4 linked regions of the Drosophila melanogaster genome follow. The protein of the gene in region 1 purifies or fractionates together with the protein of each later gene. This does not show direct contact. Each region holds a gene or a part of one and is shown on either strand. Other genes may lie near its edges. The genes, in order: Sgf29, Mocs2B, Atac2 and Ada2b.

What was found.
Region 2: the proteins of Sgf29 (region 1) and Mocs2B purify together in Drosophila melanogaster (affinity purification with mass spectrometry; 5 studies listed by BioGRID, with this or other methods). This does not show direct contact.
Region 3: the proteins of Sgf29 (region 1) and Atac2 purify together in Drosophila melanogaster (affinity purification with mass spectrometry; 5 studies listed by BioGRID). This does not show direct contact.
Region 4: the proteins of Sgf29 (region 1) and Ada2b purify together in Drosophila melanogaster (affinity purification with mass spectrometry; 4 studies listed by BioGRID, with this or other methods). This does not show direct contact.

Annotation. Positions count from the first base shown.
Region 1 is NT_033778.4:21,291,700-21,295,279, reverse strand, and holds Sgf29 (SAGA-associated factor 29kDa), read left to right. Parts: upstream 1-1,633; 5' UTR 1,634-1,783; intron 1,784-1,838; exon of another isoform or gene 1,839-1,865; 5' UTR 1,866-1,920; coding exon 1,921-1,959; intron 1,960-2,014; coding exon 2,015-2,243; intron 2,244-2,295; coding exon 2,296-2,453; intron 2,454-2,522; coding exon 2,523-2,966; 3' UTR 2,967-3,041; downstream 3,042-3,580. Other genes in the region: CG9752 (uncharacterized protein), read left to right, coding at 1-13, 70-845; RpL29 (ribosomal protein L29), read right to left, coding at 921-1,049, 1,119-1,220; CG30392 (uncharacterized protein), read left to right, coding at 3,196-3,353, 3,421-3,580. UniProt on the Drosophila melanogaster protein: Component of both the SAGA and CHAT histone acetyltransferase complexes, which both predominantly acetylate histone H3.
Region 2 is NT_033777.3:25,125,091-25,129,067, reverse strand, and holds Mocs2B (molybdenum cofactor synthesis 2B), read left to right. Parts: upstream 1-1,708; 5' UTR 1,709-1,721; coding exon of another isoform or gene 1,722-1,994; 5' UTR 1,995-2,004; coding exon 2,005-2,133; intron 2,134-2,194; coding exon 2,195-2,501; intron 2,502-2,625; coding exon 2,626-2,901; intron 2,902-2,965; coding exon 2,966-3,234; intron 3,235-3,293; coding exon 3,294-3,416; 3' UTR 3,417-3,436; downstream 3,437-3,977. Other genes in the region: Clbn (caliban), read right to left, coding at 1-335, 407-1,136, 1,202-1,257; Mocs2A (molybdenum cofactor synthesis 2A), read left to right, coding at 1,722-1,994; vig2, read right to left, coding at 3,712-3,977. UniProt on the Drosophila melanogaster protein: Catalytic subunit of the molybdopterin synthase complex, a complex that catalyzes the conversion of precursor Z into molybdopterin.
Region 3 is NT_033779.5:18,609,055-18,614,238, reverse strand, and holds Atac2 (Ada2a-containing complex component 2), read left to right. Parts: upstream 1-1,989; 5' UTR 1,990-2,060; coding exon 2,061-2,470; intron 2,471-2,530; coding exon 2,531-2,682; intron 2,683-2,737; coding exon 2,738-2,912; intron 2,913-2,978; coding exon 2,979-4,210; intron 4,211-4,276; coding exon 4,277-4,632; 3' UTR 4,633-4,663; downstream 4,664-5,184. Other genes in the region: CG10333 (uncharacterized protein), read right to left, coding at 4,784-5,184.
Region 4 is NT_033777.3:8,236,588-8,242,288, reverse strand, and holds Ada2b (transcriptional adaptor 2b), read left to right. Parts: upstream 1-1,773; 5' UTR 1,774-1,865; coding exon 1,866-1,979; intron 1,980-2,682; coding exon 2,683-3,558; intron 3,559-4,036; coding exon of another isoform or gene 4,037-4,106; coding exon 4,107-4,186; intron 4,187-4,253; coding exon 4,254-4,851; 3' UTR 4,852-5,175; downstream 5,176-5,701. UniProt on the Drosophila melanogaster protein: Component of several Gcn5-containing histone acetyltransferase complexes that regulate nucleosome organization; involved in acetylation of histone H3, particularly on Lys-10 (H3K9ac) and Lys-15 (H3K14ac).

The sequences.
Region 1 (3,580 bases):
TTTTGGACCCCCAGTGAGTAATTGATATTTATAGCAGCATCCACTATCTTCAATGGTAATCTTCCGCAGATAACTACACCAAATATAAGGTCGATGGCTATACCGGCTACTTTGCGCTGTGTGCTGCGATTAAGAGAGCCATCAAGGAAGGCGTGGATGTGATCAATCCCAAGTTCTATTCCCAGATTGATCTGAAAACCGTGGAGAACATTTTCCGCTCTGACGATGGCGAGACAGTGATTCCGCTGCTCCAAAAGCGTCTGGAATCGCTCCATGAAGTGGGAAAAGTTCTGATCGACAAGTACGACGGCAGTTTTGAGAATGTTATCAAGAAGGCGGAGAAATCGGCAGTTCGCTTGCTGGATCTCGTTGTGGAGGAGTTTCCCTGTTTTCGCGATGAGGCTGAGTTTGCTGGAAAGCGAGTTTCCATCCTAAAACGAGCGCAAATCCTAGTGGGCGATGTGTGGTCCTGCTACAGAGGTCAGGGACTTGGGTTCTTTAATGACATCGATCAGATAACCATGTTCGCTGACTACCGAATTCCCCAGGTGCTAGTGCACTTCGGCAGTTTGGAGTACACCAGTGAGCTAATGGAGTTCCTAAAGACGGATACTATTCTGGAGAACGGCGATCCCCGAGAGGTGGAGATACGCGGCGCATCTATATACATCATCGAACAAGTTAGGGATGCTGTGGTGAAGATACTCAAGGAGCAGCACCCCGAAATCTCACTGGACAACGTCAACTCCATTGTGATCGACCAATATCTGTGGGACTACCGGCGTCGGCACAATGCCGACCTGGAGCACATTCCCTTCCACAAGGTGCTGAGCATCTACTACTAACGACGGCAACACAAATAAAGACGGTTCTTTGTTAAACTGAATTGTCCTTTAATTATCCACACGCGGGGCAATCATCTACAGAGTAACAGGCTTTGGCTTGCCCTTCTGGGAAGCGATGCGCTCGTTGTAGCGCTTCACGGACTCCTCGCGGGAAAGGTTTCCCTTGCGTGCGTAGCGCTGGTTGATCAGAAATTTCACATCCATCTAAAGACGGGAAGGTTGTTAAAATCAACTCTAGATGCTAACTAAATATGCATATTTTTGAATACTTACACCCAGAGTGGACTCGTGGCGTTTGCGCAGCGGGCGCTTGATGCCATTACGATGGGCCTTCTTGTTCTGGTTGTGATTTGTGTGGTTCTTGGACTTGGCCATCTTAAACTACTCCGGGTATCCAAAGATTCGTTGATGGGGCGGCACATGAAAACAGAAAAAATGTTCGCCATTATAATTTTAGCTTGGGGTTAACACTTGGAGTTCACTTTTAGCCAACGCCAGTTGAACAAAAAGCCAACAACTGTTGAAATTTTCGTTGCATTTCTCGTGTATTAGGCACCTACGTTTTTCGCACACTGGAATTCCTAGCTGCAATTGAAGATATTATAAATAAAAATAGCCAATTGGAAAAACGCGGAGCACACTTACGGAAACGCGATGGAAAAGAAGGGAAAGCCAGAGAGGCTGTCATAGAGCGCAGAAAAGGGACTAAATAACGCCAACCACGTGAAGATATCGTGCTGTTATCTGCGTGCTGTTAGGCGCACTTGCTTCCATCTCCAATGTAAGAAACGTAAACAACTTTGAAAAGTAAATATTCGAGTTTGAGAAAAAGATCCACTAAAGTCAAATAATGAGATTATACGGTACAAAAATCTTAACAATAATTACTCTGTTTTACTCTGTAAAATAAAATTTGCTAAGATTAAAAAAATACTGAGGTAAAATATAAAACTATCGCATAGTTAATACTAACGCGTTGTCGACTTTACGCTTATGCTTGTTTTTGTTTTCATTGCGTAGGTAAACAAAGTGTTCAAAAAACAAATTTATTATATTGTTATAATATCGAAACAACATGCCACTGACTGCGGAGAGTGCCGCCCAACAGATTCAGGTAAAGATGTTAACAATAAATGTCGATATATACTATATTTATATGGCATTTACAGGATCGCCTGAAGGACATTCAACAAAACATTCACAATGTGGACGAGGAGCGTCGTCGTGCGGAAAACTCCATTGCTAGTCTGGTGCGATCTCTGCACGCCACCAATCAGAAGGTTAAGCCCCTGCTCAAGGCCAGTTTAACGGAGGCTGCGCAGGAGGAGGCCACAATCCGAGCCGCACTGGCGAAAATCCACGAGATTCGAAGCATTCGCAATGAGAGGCGCATCCAAGGTGGGTTAGTGATGGGATGTATAAACAGGATTTAATCTCGCATATTCCACAGCTCGCAACGCTGGAAATAAGGAGGCCATTCGACGGGGCGCCCTTATGAAAATGGTGCAGCTCTCAGCGCAAACGTTGCCGTTATTCGTTGGCAAACTAGGAGAACGAGCACCAGCTCTATGTGGAGCCATTCCCGCCGAGGGGAACTATGTGGCCAAGGTAAGCATTCATTTTGATTGGACAAAGAAGCTGGGATGATGATCTGACTAATCGGACGCCACTGTATAGGTTGGCGACAATGTTGCCGCATTAGCTAAGGGAATTGATGAGGAGGAGAACTGGATCCTGGCGGAAGTGGTGCAGTTCCTTCACCGTCAAAACAAATACGACGTAATTGACATTGACGAGGAGCAAAAGGATCGCCATGTGCTGAGCAAGCGAAAGGTCATCCCACTGCCTCTAATGCGTGCAAATCCTGAGACCGATGGTCACGCCCTCTTCCCCAAGGACACAGTGGTAATGGCGCTATATCCACAGACCACCTGTTTCTACAAGGCCATTGTCCATCGCCTGCCGCAAACCGCCACCGAGGATTACGAGGTGCTATTCGAGGATTCATCGTACACGAATGGCTATGCCGAACCCTTGCCGGTCGCACAGCGCTATGTGATTGCATATCGTCCAACGAAAAAGGGGGCTGGCAGTGGCAGCGGGAATCTATCATCAGCATAAAAAATGTATTATCTTAACTTTAAGAATTAAATGTAATTGTAATAATAGCTCCAATTAAAATTGTATTCAATTCACAATAGACTGGTTTCTGTCTGGAATAAGAAGAAAGTAATTTCAGGGTGGTATTTTAATACCGGATTTTTTGGAGAACGGTTACATTGATTTCCTAAAAAAAATAAATAGACTTTAAAGTTTGTAGGAAAACAAAGGGGAAAGGCAGGCTTATAAGATGAGTAAAACGAGCTTAGCGACGCAGACCAATGGCACGGCGGAAAATGGAAACTGTTTTGATATCCTCAAAGTGTCTAATTTGTTCGAAACCAGCCTTCTGGACGAGGATGACGTACAATTAGACGCATACTTGGCAGCCTACGAGGAAATAATGAAGTAAACTGAGTGATTATGATGTTTATGTTTTTTAGTGGTGCTCTATTGGGCTTTCGGTGTTCATTAGGTTCTTCCAGCTCATGGGCAGTGTCTTCAGTTTTGTCAGCAGCGATGTGCGCAGTAAAATAGATATCTTATACGCCCTGAGAGCCAAGGACGCGGAGGAGCAGGAACACTTTAATACCTTCAGAACCATGCTGGATTACGAGAAGGAGGCCCAGTTGCTT
Region 2 (3,977 bases), on another chromosome or scaffold:
TCCACATCTTGGACTTTTGTCAATTCCTCTAGACGCTTTGCGTGGTCATTCTTGACATTAGACAGCTTTTTTAGTGCCTCACGCTCTTGCTGTAGCGTTTTCATGTCAATCTTTTGCGACTCTTGCGTAGAGTAAAATTCATCAACGGCTTCCATAAAGGACTCAAATGTGGCCTTTTCAAAGTTTTTGAATTGAATAAAGAGGTAGGGATGAAATTCGATGTTTCTAAAGAAAAACTCCACCGTTCCATTCTCTGTAGGCTTTTCCTCTTTAACTTGAATAATGTAGCCTTTACTTTTTCCACTATTTCCCTCAGCTATAAGCTCTTGAGCATCCTAAAAGATTGCACAGAACGTTTTATTTACTTTAACAGCAATAATAAATATTTCCACGATATTGTTCTTACCTTTACTGCTTGCTGAAGAATTGGCAAGTCATTAACCATGTCAAATGGTTTCTGTTCCAGTTTCGTATTCTGTTGCTTCTTACGTTGCTTTTTACCGCCCTTCTCCGGCTTGTCCTCCGCCTCCGGCGTTTCTTCCGTTGTTTCCTTTTTGATAACGTGATTGTCCAAGCCGTGTGAGAGGAGAACATGCTCTATAACTGCCGGACCACAGTCCAAGTTGGGTGTTAGAATCTGTCGCAAATAGTCGCCGTTCCTGGCATTTTCCAACAGCTTAACCAAAGCTTCCAGTTCCAGTTCCTTCGTGGGCTGTTTGGCCCGTTCCACGGGATATTTCTCGCGCATGGCGAAGCGCAGGTTCTCGCCCTCCGTATGCGGACGCAAAATATATAACGTGGTCAGCTCGTAGTCGGTGAGGATCACATTACCACGATCGTAGAGCTCCAAAATAACATGGTAGGCGGCATCACCGGTACCGAACTGAAAGTCAACAATACGATCGCTACCCATCTGTTGAACCTTTTCCAGGCGCTTGTTCTTCAAGTGCTTCCTCAACTTCATGCTGAAACCGGACGGAGCCATGTTCTTGGGCCATTCGAACCTAGTGGTATGGAATCTTGTACCAGATTCTATTAGCAGAGTGACCTTCTCCACTGCACCGGTCCCTTGCATCCGGAAGAGGTAGGTCTTGTTATCCACGTCATAGATCTGATTCACTCGCCAGCCGACCAGCCTGGAATATAAATGTAGATGTACCATTATTCCTGGGCATCGGAATTATCCGGATTTTTTACATACTTTTGCAGTTCCGCCACTCCGCAGATTATATCGAAGGTATTGAAACGTGTCTTCATGGTTCTTTATGGAAAGTTGACGATGTCAACACGGAAAGTGAAGAAAAAAGAATCTATCTGGCAACTTAACTTATCATTAAATATTCACAAGTTCGCTATCTACGTTAGATAAGTTAAATTAGTTTAATAGGGAATAATAACAATTTTATTCACTTGCGAAATTAAGTATCGGTGTAAATTGCGATGGACGAACTTTAAACAAAATATATCGATTGTATGCTGTTGATGATTCGGATTGTCAGAATGAATTCGCTGTATAATTACTATGTATTAAATATTTGTATTGTTTATGCAATGAGTAAGAAGCTTCTTTGATTTATCTAAAAAGTTATTAAGCATTTAATAAAGTTTCAGTCAGCTGTTTCCCTTTCCGTGGACTATTCCACTTCGTTCCGATAAGAAATCGATACATAGGTAGTCGGAAAATGGAACTGCTGTGTCATCGCCAATCTTCATTTGTAAATATGAATGCGGATGGACCTGTTGTCAACGTGCACGTGTTGTTCTTTGCTAAATCCCGTGAATTAGCAAACACTCCCCGGTCGACAGTGGAAGTTCCTACTGAAATTACTGCCACCGAACTGCTGGACCACCTGGTGTCCAAATTTGGCCTGACCTCCATCCGGGATAACTTGATTTTGGCCCACAACGAGTCGTACATTGACAACCTGAGTGATAGAATTCTGTTTAAGGAAGGAGACGAACTCGCCATCATACCGCCACTGAGTGGAGGCTAACCTTTCCGCCATGGATCACGTGAAATTGGTAAACGACCCCATAGATATCGCTCATATCCATCAGTTGCTGGCCGATGAAGGCTGTGGAGCCTCATCCGTTTTCGTGGGCACTACGCGCGATAATTTTCAAGGGAAAAAGGTGGCTTCATTATCTCAATCAATTGATTTCATTGATTCATTTGTACTTTTCGACCTTTCAGGTGCTGTCATTGGCGTACGAGGCCTACGATAGCATGGCACTCAAGGAAATGAATAAAATATGCTCAGATCTCCGATCTAAGTGGCTCGATCTGAAGCACATAGTCATATATCATCGATTGGGAACAGTGCCCGTATGCGAAGCCAGTGTAGTTATAGCCGCCTCGTCACCACATCGTTCTGAGGCCTTAGAATCAGTATCTTTTGCAATAGACCAGCTAAAAACTCGGGTTCCCATCTGGAAAAAGGAAATCTACGACGGCGATAACGACAGCGAATGGAAGGAGAACAAGGAGTCCATCAGGCCTAGTAAGATCTTATGAGTAGCCAGCATGACATGTATTCTTATTATTTGTACACTTGTAAATATAATTAACAATCGAGCGTTTACGATTTTATTGGCTTCTCTCTCATCTGTGCATGTACATTGTAGAGAAATCGAAAAGTGGCTTCAACTACGCCGCTTGTCCCTGCAAAGTTGAGGAGTCACATGACGTCCCGCGAACTCTGGTGCAAATTAGAGTTAATGACGCTGAGTTAACCAAGCGTTTAGAATGTTTTGTCAACAGAAAACGAGACGAAATAAACTCACAAAATGTAATTGACTTCAAATCGTCTTTTGTCAGCTCAGACCAAAACTTGAGCGATTCCTGCGCTCGAACGCAGAGCACAATTATTAAGCAGGAGCAGTCAAATTGCCATTTAAAAGGTGGGTAAACGATGCTCTATTTTCATAACTATAGCCACTTTGGTCTACAAACAACCTATCACAGTCCGACGAGTAAACAACCGATGCGGACCTCAGCAAATGGAAATGCGACCCAACTACGAACTCGAACTGAATAAACTAATGGGATCGCGTGACGGTCAAACGGATCCAACCAAAGAAATGAGGAAATCGCTACCCAATTCACGACTACAGGCAATTGAATCGTACATGGGTCTAACCACCGACAACGAGGAAAACATTTTCAGTAGAATCAAACGAGTGGAAAATAGACTGCTGCAACTGGAGTCCATTTCGCCCGAGTACAGACACTTCGTAGGTTCTTAAAACATTTCCTGTAATTGCAGTTCTAAAAAAATTCAATCTATTCTCAGACCAAACGTGAACCGTCATCTATGGAAGCCGCGCCGCCGAAGAAGAGCCGAAAGAAATCGTATTCGGCGCAAGAATTAAGTGCATTCATTCAAAAGATTAAGGATGGCAGCGAATTAAGCTAATAAAAACCTAATTAATTATTATTCCTTGGTTTGTAATTGATGTAAATTTATTTCAACATTCCAACTATTTGTAATAGTTTTTTTTATGCGTAAATGATGAGAGTGAAAAATGCAAAAATTTTTGTTTACAACTAAGGAATATGGATAAGCGTGGCTGATTTGTTTCTGTTTATTAATCGGTCGTCAAGCTTCATAGATCGCGCCCGAAAATCTAATGGTTATTTGTTAACCGAAGGACCAGCTTACTAATTATTTAATACGCGAAATTATTAAATCTTATTGTTGTTCTCAACTCCTAGCACAGAGTGGGGAATTGAGCTTCATCGTCAACCTTCAGTGGCTTCTGGGCGGAGCGGCGTTTCTCTCCGAATCTGTTGTTGTCTTGTCTGTTTTCATAGCCGTTGCTGGGTCCGTTGTTAAAGCGGGGACCACGGAATCCCTCTCCACGCGGTCCGTCATTGCGGTAGCCTTCTCCACGCGGTCCCTCATTGCGTGGACCCTCTCCGCGAGGTCCGTCGTTGCGATAACCACCTTCTCCGCGAGGTCCGTCATTGCGATAGC
Region 3 (5,184 bases), on another chromosome or scaffold:
TAAATTATATAACTTATAATGCTATTTAATCAAATATTCATCGAGCATCGTATATATTTTCTCAGTGCATCGGCTGGTAGCAGCCCCACTAATAACGCTAATGGCTTCGATTAAGTGACAGCCAGACGGCGTTTGTTTGCCCCTCACGATGGGGGGATGCCCCCATATCCTTCCCTTACTTTTCCCTTTGTGCCAGGACCTGGCCTTAAATCGTTCGGAAAACGGTCAAGCCATGGCCGTGGAGCTAAGGTGCAATAAGTCTGGTGATTGAGAGCAAATACGGTTGTTATGAACAAAATGGGTGGCCAAACAAATTCTAACCAGCATCGCATCTGTAAATGTCATAATCAGCTAGTAAACGACTATCCAATTTGTCAAGCTCTTTCCAGAAAATATTTACCCTCGAGCTTTAAGTGATTTATGAGTGAAACTCATTTTAACTTTCGCAAAACTAAGATATAGATATACTTTAAAACATAATTCGGGGATATACTTTTGGCTGTAGTAGCACCAACAAATTAATTTGTTTCACCATATTTTTCGCTCTTTTCGACTTGCCAGCGGGCAGTCGCGAATTAAATGAAAATCTCCTCGAGGCGCCAGACAAGCAAGTTGAAAGGAATTCAACTACAGATATTAAAGGCAGGGAAGAACTTGAAGTGCAATATTCAAATTGAATTGAAAACGATGAGTGTTGAAGTGAAATCGTAAATAGGTGCATATCCTGTAAGATGCACAAACTGCATGCTTTGCAGTAATAATCATTCGGCAAATAGAAAGTGATTTACAAAAGAAACAATTGTGGATCCGTTCAGCTTTGGTTCTCAACTGAATACCCCACTTAGCCGGCCTGCAGTTTCGACCATCCCACTTCAGTCCATAAACCAATCATGCACTTCATCAAACACACAACAACAGCAGAAGCAGAAGCAGAAGCAACAGCTTCGCCAGAACGCAGCAGCCGGCGATGCCTAATTAGGCCCGCTTAAGACAACACACTGACCGGGCCAAAAGCAATGGGGCCAGGTCCGATGGTCGATGGTCTGCCGGAAACAGCCTTAATTATGCGTAAGCCGTAAAGAGCCCATTAATGTCATTTTCGTTGCATGGCCAAAGGACGCTGGGCGTTGGGTGGTGGGTGGTGGGCGTTGGTACTAATGTGCTTGGTGGGCGTAGGGCGTGACAAACGCATGCTTGATCAAGCGAAACGGGACTGTACTAATCAAGCGGATTCTTATCTTCTAGATAGGGAGAACATAAAAAACAATCGGGATCTTTTATATAGTGTATATAAGGGCATAAGGATATGCTAGATTCGTTGAAAAGTAGGTAACTGGCATAAGAAATAACAAAAGAAAAAGTCATTCCCGACAGTATTAAGCATATATATGTAATCAGGATCAGTGGACGAGTCGATTAAAACGTGTCCTTCTGTTCGTCCGTATAAGCGCTGTGATCTCGGGAACTTAAAAGTTAGGAAGCTAAGATGGAGCAATCAGATTCTAGACATGTAGACGCATCACAGTTTGTTTCAGAAGAATGCCACGCCCACTCTAACGCCCACCAAGAGCTCAAAACTTTTAAAAAGTGTTTTGATATTTGCTTGCAATTTCTAAAAATGTGACAAGAAAATGTTGAATACACCTGAGAAGAGGGTATATAATATGCGAAGACCATAGCCTTGTCTCTGTTCCATATTAATTAAAAATGCTTATTTATGACATTTTAACAATAAAAAATTATTTTAAATTATGTTAATGCTGACATCTTCGGCATTTTAAAACGGCAATGTTAATAAATAAATAAGTGCTTAATAATAATATGTTTTGTAGTGCTTCAGAAAAGATCAATTAAGAATACAAATTAATTTTATTTTTTGTTTTCCCAATTCAAATTATTGACAAATTTGAACCGAGCACAGTGCGATTTTTTGGTATTTTCAAAATGTAAGCTTCTCATATATATGGTATAAACCAAAAAGTGCGAAACGGTAACACACAAACAACACATTATTTTGTTGATTGTTTTTAACTTGCAATTTGTGCTGTTTTACTGAGTAAATGAATCGGCCCAGTAACTGGGATGATCCCCAGGGACCATGCCGCTACTGTGAATCGCCGGTGGAGGACGACAACTACCTGGAGTGCCAGGAATGCAGGCGGATGGTTCACATCAAATGCCTGCCGCATGCTTGCACGCCCGGAGATCTTTTAGGCGACGTTTTCTTCGAGTTCACGTGCGTCAAGTGTGTGCTGGATAAAGCTAAGGAATCGGTCATACCCTCAGATCTAGAACCCATTAAGGAAGTGATCGTGCGCCAAAGGATACCTTGGCTGCTGGTGCTCACCCTAACGCTCTACAATCTGTCCATCAAACAAAAGGGCTTGGGACACCATGGATTCTTCCATTGGCGCACGCACATCATCAGTTTTGTGGACAAGAACTGGAACTATATATTCGGTCCCAATGTGTAAGTATTCGTAAATGAATAATTTCCGGAGAACACATTCAATTTATTCCCCTTGTTCAGGCGGCGTCGCAAGCAATGGACTGGTTCCGTATCCGGCGCACTGTCCCACAACAGTCCGGAGTACTTTCAGTCTGGTCTGGATGTCTTTCAGGAGAACGGCTGGTGGAAACTGGCCAAGCCCTTTCAAACCCCAAGAAGCGTTCTCAAAGAATGTAAGTGCCACTTAAGTTAATGATATGATAGATTTCACAAGTCGTCACATTTCAGATGAGAAAAAGCAACAGTTGCGGCTACAAATGCGTATTGAAAAGCGGTTGCCTGCAGCGGACGAGACCAGCTGTAGCAGCGAGATCTCAGTGGCGGATCATGCCCAGGATAACCCACCGCTTATTAAAGCAGAAGCTGAGAAACCCAGTTCAACAGAGGGCTGTGCGCGAACAATGTAAGATAATTAATTTTGAATACAACTATGCGTTCCTTTCATTAAAATCTTTCACTTTTATTCCAGTCCCTACATGGGCCGTTTGCCAAAGATACAAACACAACCTTCACCCTTGTCACAGGAAACGCTTCCAGGGCCACCAATTCTTCAAGAAAATATAGCGCCACCAAGTCAGAAGGAGGAAGAACCACAGAATCAGCCTATGAGCATGGTCCAAGCAGGCCTGATGGATTTTCTGGCTGAAAGTTTGGAAAGCGATGATTTTACCATGTTTGGTAACCTACCAGGCATAATGCCCCCACCCCTGATTGGAGCGGGTAAAAATGATTTCTTCATGACCGAGCCGTTGCTTCACGCACCTTTGAATAATGAAGGTCTTTTCGACATGGATACAAATTTTGCCATACCAAATACCGCTGATGAGACCAAACCCATATCAACAGAAGAACCTGCAGCCGAAAGCAGCGAGGAACAAAAAGAAGGCGAGGTAGAAGATGAAAAGCCAGAAGAGGACGAATCACCCGACTATCAGCCACGCATCGTACAGGTTACAAATTACCAGGCGCAAGAGGCAAACGAAAGCATCAAAGAGGAACCACTAGAAGAGATAATGCAAGATGATGACGTCACGACAAATAGCAAATCCTCTATCCTAGAGCCTTGCAAACCGAGTGGATTTGTCAGACAACCACGGCGAAATTGGCCCTGGTTGCAGGAGGCGCAGGATCCCGATGACATGGCCATTCCTAGCGAAAATCTCAAACTAATAAATGCATACGAAGAACAGAAGTTGTACCAGCGACTCGATAGAATATTCGCACTGGAGCATCAGTGCCACATATCCATACCTGCCTATGTGCGGCGCCTATATCGAAAACTTTCTCTTCGAAAATGGAAAAGGGACCACAATCGACACATATTTAACTTGGACGAGCACATAGATCCCCTGGGAAGAGCACGCCTAAAGATGCTGGGTCATCAGAAGGCCGAAATTCTTGACAGATATCAGTTGTTAGCCCATTCACGACAAGATGCAAGGAGCTCCTTTCACGCCCGCCTGGCGGGATGCACTCAATACGAGCTCTTTGAATCGCCCTACTCTCAAAGAGTTCTTCATCCATTTATCTTTCGGAGCGAAACGATGGCTCCTCCATGGCTGAAGCTTATGTGCGAGCTGCAGCATAGAGTAAACGGATCTCATCCCACAAGATCTACCATCGACTTCTGTTTTGTGAGACCGCAGCATATTCCGGCCGTAAACGCATTACTCCAAAGTACTTTTTGGCCAAACATTGATGGTGGGTTTCATGATTTTCTTTTTAGCTTTTTTAATGTACAAATTTGTATGATTTTTTCCCTTTTAGTAAGCGAGTGTTTGAGCTACCCGGACTACAGTGTAGTGGCGTTGTACAAGAAACTGGTCATCGGTTGCGGATTCCTAGTGCCCGACGTAGGTTACAACGAGGCCTACATCTCATTCATGGCGGTGCGGCCGTGCTGGCAACGCAGTGGCATCGCCAGCTTCATGTTATATCACCTTATCCAGACATGTATGTCCAAGGACATAACGTTGCACGTTTCCGCCACCAACGCGGCCGTCATGTTGTACCAGAAATTCGGATTTAAGATGGAGGAAATCATCTTGGACTTTTATGACAAGTATCTGCCTCTGGACTCGAAACAGAGCAGAAATGCCTTCTTTTTGAGATTACAAAGATGAGACTTTTTTCAAATAAATGGTTTATGAATCTAAAGTTTCAAAAGACTATTTCGAAAGAGAATTTTTGGTTGCCAAGGTATGGCTTTGGCGCACCCAACTTTATTAGTTTTAAATTTTAACCTAAAGTAGTTCTGCTTAGAATTTGCCAAATTTAGGCGAATATTTTTTCCTCCCTGCGCTTTTTGGTAACCACCGTGCCAGGCTTGTGCTGCGCTTCCGGGTGATTCATTAGCTCCGGCGGACAGGTCGAGACAGGACTTGCAGACACACATTGCTTTAGATCGTAGAACAAAGCGCTATCGTCCTTGGTGACAAACGAAATGGCACAACCGGTTTTGCCGGCACGACCCGTACGACCGATACGATGTGTGTAATCCTCGATGGTCTTGGCCATGTCATAGTTAATAACCAAGGACACGTCCTTGATGTCGATACCACGACCAGCGACGTCGGTGGCCACCAGGATGTCCTTTGCGCCTGACTTCAAAGCAGCCAAAGCATACTCTCTCTGCTCCTGACCCTTGCCACCGTGCAATGTGCACGAGTTGTAGC
Region 4 (5,701 bases), on another chromosome or scaffold:
CAGTAGCTGCAGATCCAACGTCACCAACAACAGCAGCCATCCCGAAATCGAGCACAGTGTGTGCAATCATATGCATATTGTTGGGCTGAGCGCCGCCAAAAGCCATGTCAGCACCTATTCCAGCTTCACCACACCAGTGATCCCCGCCAAGCTTAGCCAATGTTTAGACGCTTCCCAAGACGATGACGATGAGCAGCGAGAGTTTAGAGACAAAGACGAGACACCGAGCACAGCGAATCGGTTCCCATATCCGAGTGAGTATGGTGCAGAGTTTGTGGCATCTGCCGGCATGTTGGTCATACTGTTGCTAGTTGGCCATTGCCACAGGACCTTGAGCCCTCATCGCGCCAATGCCCATGACAAAGACACAAAGACTTTACATACCAAATTAGTTGATAGTTATGCTTTAGGACTACTCGCTTATGCAAATTTTGAGAGCCCATCCATCGCGGCCGCCTGCTTATGAGTCTCGATGCTGGGAGCAGGCGGTTCAGACGGATCTGGACATGGATCTGTTTCCGTTGCCAGTCGTCAATTATGACGACTGGGGTCGCGCCTGCGCTGTGACTTTTCCTTAGTTCCTTACGCAAGCGAATTCAAATCGAACCGTATCTGTGAAAATCGTGAATCTCAAACTCTTGAATGTCCTCGAACAGTATTGTTAAACATACTTCAGTCCCTAGGATCAGACGCAGGTGCGACACCAAAACCGAATTTGGCGCTCAAATAGACTTATTTAGACGTTTTTAGGTACTCGAATTGATAAATTTTGTTGGCCGTGTGCGTGTTTTTGAAAAGCGCAGCTGCACAAGTAACTTGCCATATCTGTTTAAGATCTGTTAACCCATTTTGTATCGTGTAACTCGTTTTGTTTTTCTCTGGTCCAAGCTAACTAGCAAGAGTAAACTAGCAACAATGCCACCAAAGCCACATGCAACACAAACTAGTCCTCACCGCCCACTGAGATATCTGGAACCCATAACAATTCGGCTACTGCTCGGTGTAAGACAGCAATACTAACAATAATATAAACGTATTCACCATATGAACTAATCGAATAATCAACTATTTATACAGCGTAGCCTACCCCAAATCCTTCCCAATGATTGTAATGATTGTAACCTACAATATCTCGGCAGTCCCACGCCCTATTCATGTTAGATGTAAGCAACCGAAATATTTTTCGGCAGTTATTACTTTTACACTTTTTGTTTGAAACAAAAGATATTTACCCATTTTATATTTTTTTTGTAACTCAGAATTTAGCTTAAGTTTTTAATCCTGACCACCGCTTAAATTTACGTATCGAACTGCATTTAAGCACATGAGTTTTTTATATTTTTATTCAGCACCACGCTACAAATGTTTCAACCATCACATATTCGTATTTATGTTTACCTTGTTTTGGTTTGATATGCACTTCTTTTATTTTAGTTTTATTTTATATATATTAATATTATTTTTTGTGATAATTTAAAAAAGGCAAAACACTCGAATTAAACTTTTAAAATAATTAAATAAACTACTATCAATATTTAACGCATAAACATTAGAGTTTTGAACATGTGCCTAATGTTTGAAATTTGTATTCTATATTTAATGTGTTGGTACTTTTGGTAAGTAGTATAATTTAGAAATTAACTATAATTCAGAGATTCAACAGAATTATGAAAATTAGCTAAAAAGGCTTTAAGACTAGCTATATAGGCGGCACTGTTCCGATGAACTGGTTCGGTTCGTTGGCCGTACATATAAGAATTCTCAGTAGAGCAATATGGCGTTGACTTCGCGTCTGGTCACATTACTGGCATAGGTTTTTTTCGCACAACTCATAATTGTCGTGAAAATCCAGGTTTTGGCCCAAAATGACCACAATCGCGGATTTATTCACAAAGTATAATTGCACAAATTGCCAGGATGATATTCAGGGCATTCGAGTGCACTGCGCGGAGTGCGAAAACTTCGATTTGTGTCTGCAAGTAAGTAACTCACACATACACGCCGTCGAGCGACGCACGTATACATGTTGCAGTAGGGTGGTTCGCTCTTTTTGAGGTTCTAGATACTTGTATATAGATTTGTAAATAATAAAAATCAGTTATTTTAACAAAATATTCTTGAATCACCCTCTTTGGATGGTCAAACTAATGGCCATATGGCCTCAATCCTCTAAATTAACGTCACCCAGATCTTGACAAGAAAAATATTTGCTTTAACTTTTTGTTAATTTAAAGGAAATTTGTTTATTGATTTTGGTAAATAGGTAGACTATCGTAGTTAATTTAATTAAAAATTACTTCCTTACGAATTAGCAGTGTCATTTTTATTTAGTTAAATGCCATAAATTAAAAAGAAAAAAATGTCAAAATAAGTGTCTGAATCTTGTATTAAAAAAAGGCCTGACAAAGCGTAAATTTAGGGAATATGAAATATGTTTCTGTTTTAATTTCCTAATCAAATTATTTTTATCGAGGAACTATTTACACGTTTTCTTTGTCAACATAATCGACCCACCCTGTTACACCCACACTCGTACAATCTAGAGATGCGTCGCCAATTTGGAACCAAAAACTGACTCATCTAGACATTCAAATAATACATACACACAACCGGCAATTTCACCATATTGATTAAAAAACAGCTGACTCTGTATTTATATTGTATTGTTTATTTTTTGCGCAGTGCTTTGCCGCAGGTGCGGAGATCGGCGCCCATCAAAACAACCACTCCTACCAGTTCATGGACACCGGCACTTCCATATTGAGTGTATTTCGTGGAAAGGGGGCGTGGACGGCACGAGAGGAAATCCGCCTGTTGGATGCAATCGAGCAGTACGGCTTTGGAAACTGGGAGGACATTAGCAAGCACATTGAGACGAAGTCAGCGGAGGATGCCAAAGAGGAGTACGTGAATAAGTTTGTAAATGGCACGATTGGAAGGGCCACTTGGACGCCGGCCCAGAGCCAGAGACCCCGCCTTATCGATCACACTGGAGACGACGACGCTGGTCCTCTGGGCACCAATGCTCTCTCTACCTTGCCTCCACTGGAAATCAACTCCGATGAGGCCATGCAGCTGGGCTACATGCCCAACAGGGACAGCTTTGAGCGGGAGTACGATCCCACGGCAGAGCAACTGATCTCGAACATCTCATTAAGCTCCGAGGATACGGAGGTGGATGTGATGCTTAAGCTGGCCCACGTTGACATATACACCCGCCGACTCAGAGAGCGTGCTCGCAGGAAACGGATGGTCAGGGACTATCAATTAGTATCAAATTTCTTCCGAAACAGAAATTACGCTCAGCAACAAGGACTCACCAAGGAGCAGCGCGAGTTTCGGGACAGATTTCGGGTCTACGCCCAGTTCTACACGTGTAACGAGTATGAGCGGCTATTGGGATCACTGGAGCGCGAAAAGGAACTGCGCATTCGACAGTCAGAGCTGTACCGATACCGGTATAATGGCCTGACCAAAATCGCGGAATGCACACATTTCGAGCAGCACGCCGCAACAGCGACGCACCGCTCTACAGGACCATATGGCCATGGCAAGACCGTAAGTTTAAGGCTCCGCAACAGGGGTGCCGAAATCGAACTAACCATTAAATATTTTATTTGGTCTTGAAAATCCGAACTTTTTGGAACTTTGTTATTTTTTTTTTTATTATTAAAATCCAAACATTACCTTTTCTTTCGATTGTTTCACAAAAATTAAAAGAGGTGTTAGGTGACCGGAACCGGTAGCTTTATAATTTTATCAACAATGAGTAGATTAACTTAAATTGAAAGAAAACAAATGATTTAAGTTGAATGTATAGATAAAAGTTTGGATAAATCGATTTGGAATACTTAATACAGAATATTAAATGGTCAAATTGGCTAGTTTCGATTTCATTCCCCTTGGAGTAAGCTTTTCCCACTGAGAATGCATGACGAGTTGAATATCGTGTGTTCTGCCTTGCTTTAACCGTCGTCCTTACCTGAACTGACCCAACTCTTACAATCGCTTTTCCGTCTTGTCTCACGATATTCAGCTCCACTGCATAATAAACGCGCCAAACAACGAGCGTTCGAATGGTTCTATAAGACAATGTTTAACCACAGGACCACACGCATACCTCCAATGGAAGTCATCGGCCGCCAAGCTCTTCCTTGCACTCCCCACAACCGAATCTCAGAAAGGTGTAAGTATTTTGGCAAAAAATTGCAATTACCTTAGAACTTGAATAATTCGGTTTTTCGTTTATTTAGCGAAATGTCAAGCGGCGGCGAGGCAAGTTCAAATTCAATCGCACCAAGAAACACGCTCCACATCGCCGACCCGACCTGCTCCGGCGCATTATTGCCCAGCAAAAACTACTTGGATAGCTGTCGGGGATCGTCGGCAGCTACGATGCTGCAGACGACGGGAATGGTAATGGGGGTAACAGTGGACTCGGGAGCGACGACGGGAGTGACTTCCACGGCTACGACGATGGCGAATCTGCCAACGAACTCGGCGAAGGGAAGCCAACAACATCTGCAGCCGCTGCAGCAGCATCCTCAGCTCCTGCAAAGCGGCAACCAGCACAAAATGCAAAACGAGGCCGCCGGCGGAGGCAGTGATCAGGTGCCCAGCATGAGCCTGAAATTGCGCACCCAGCTGGAGGAACTAAAACATCTGCCACAGCCGCCGGGCAGTGAACTGCTCAGTCACAACGAGCTGGATCTGTGCAAGAAGCATAATATTACGCCCACCACCTACCTCTCGGTTAAGACTGTCTGCTTGAGCGGAGCACCATCGTTGGGTAGTCCTATGGAGACTTCGCTGCGCAAGTTCTTTATCAAGTGCGGCTGGCTGAGCCACTGAACATCTTCCAACTTCCCGCTCCCCTTCGATTAAGAGCCACATGCATTTCCAAGGACTTCACTTTATTTTTGTATTAGTTAGAATAGGTTAAAGACATTTTTATACTGTTCAACTGTCGTTGGCATTTTCATCAAGGTAAAAACTACAAAACTGAAAATCAATTTACTTGTATCAAGTCAAGCTCAATTACAATAAGTGTTGTTCCTTTGTGTGAGATGTCGGGATTCAGATATTGTGTATTAACTAAGCTTAAGTAGGGGACCCAACCAATTGAATATGTATGATATGAATTGTAAATGAAGTAATAAATGTAATAGTGAATGTACAACAAGGACGCGACTTGTTTCTCGGATCTCACAGCTGGGAGACCGCTTTGGACTGAATGCCGCTAGGATATGTAAGAAGTAAGGTATTGAGTAAGCCTCTGATAGCGATAATACCGCGTTGAGTATTTATATTCGTATATTATTTCTTATGGTAGCTAGTTTTCTAGGCAAGATTCTGAACAATGCATTTGAACGTAATTCATTAAAGCCCATGAGAGCATGATAATCAATGTACTAGGCTGAGGAATGGAAAACAATGCTGGAAAAAATATATAAATATCTAATATGTTAACACATATGGAATGTTTTATAAATTAGCGAAGATTAAAACTTGTTAAATGAAAATGCGGTTATCTAATGACATTCTTCGGTATTATAAACTTAACAAAATCACTCATTCAGTTCAAGAAACCCACTAGTTATTTATCCTAGCTTATGTTCGTCCAATGCGGCACCCTAAAGCATGCACTCTGTAACCGTATACCTACAAAAATATATCATATATTTAAACAAATTTATTCTCT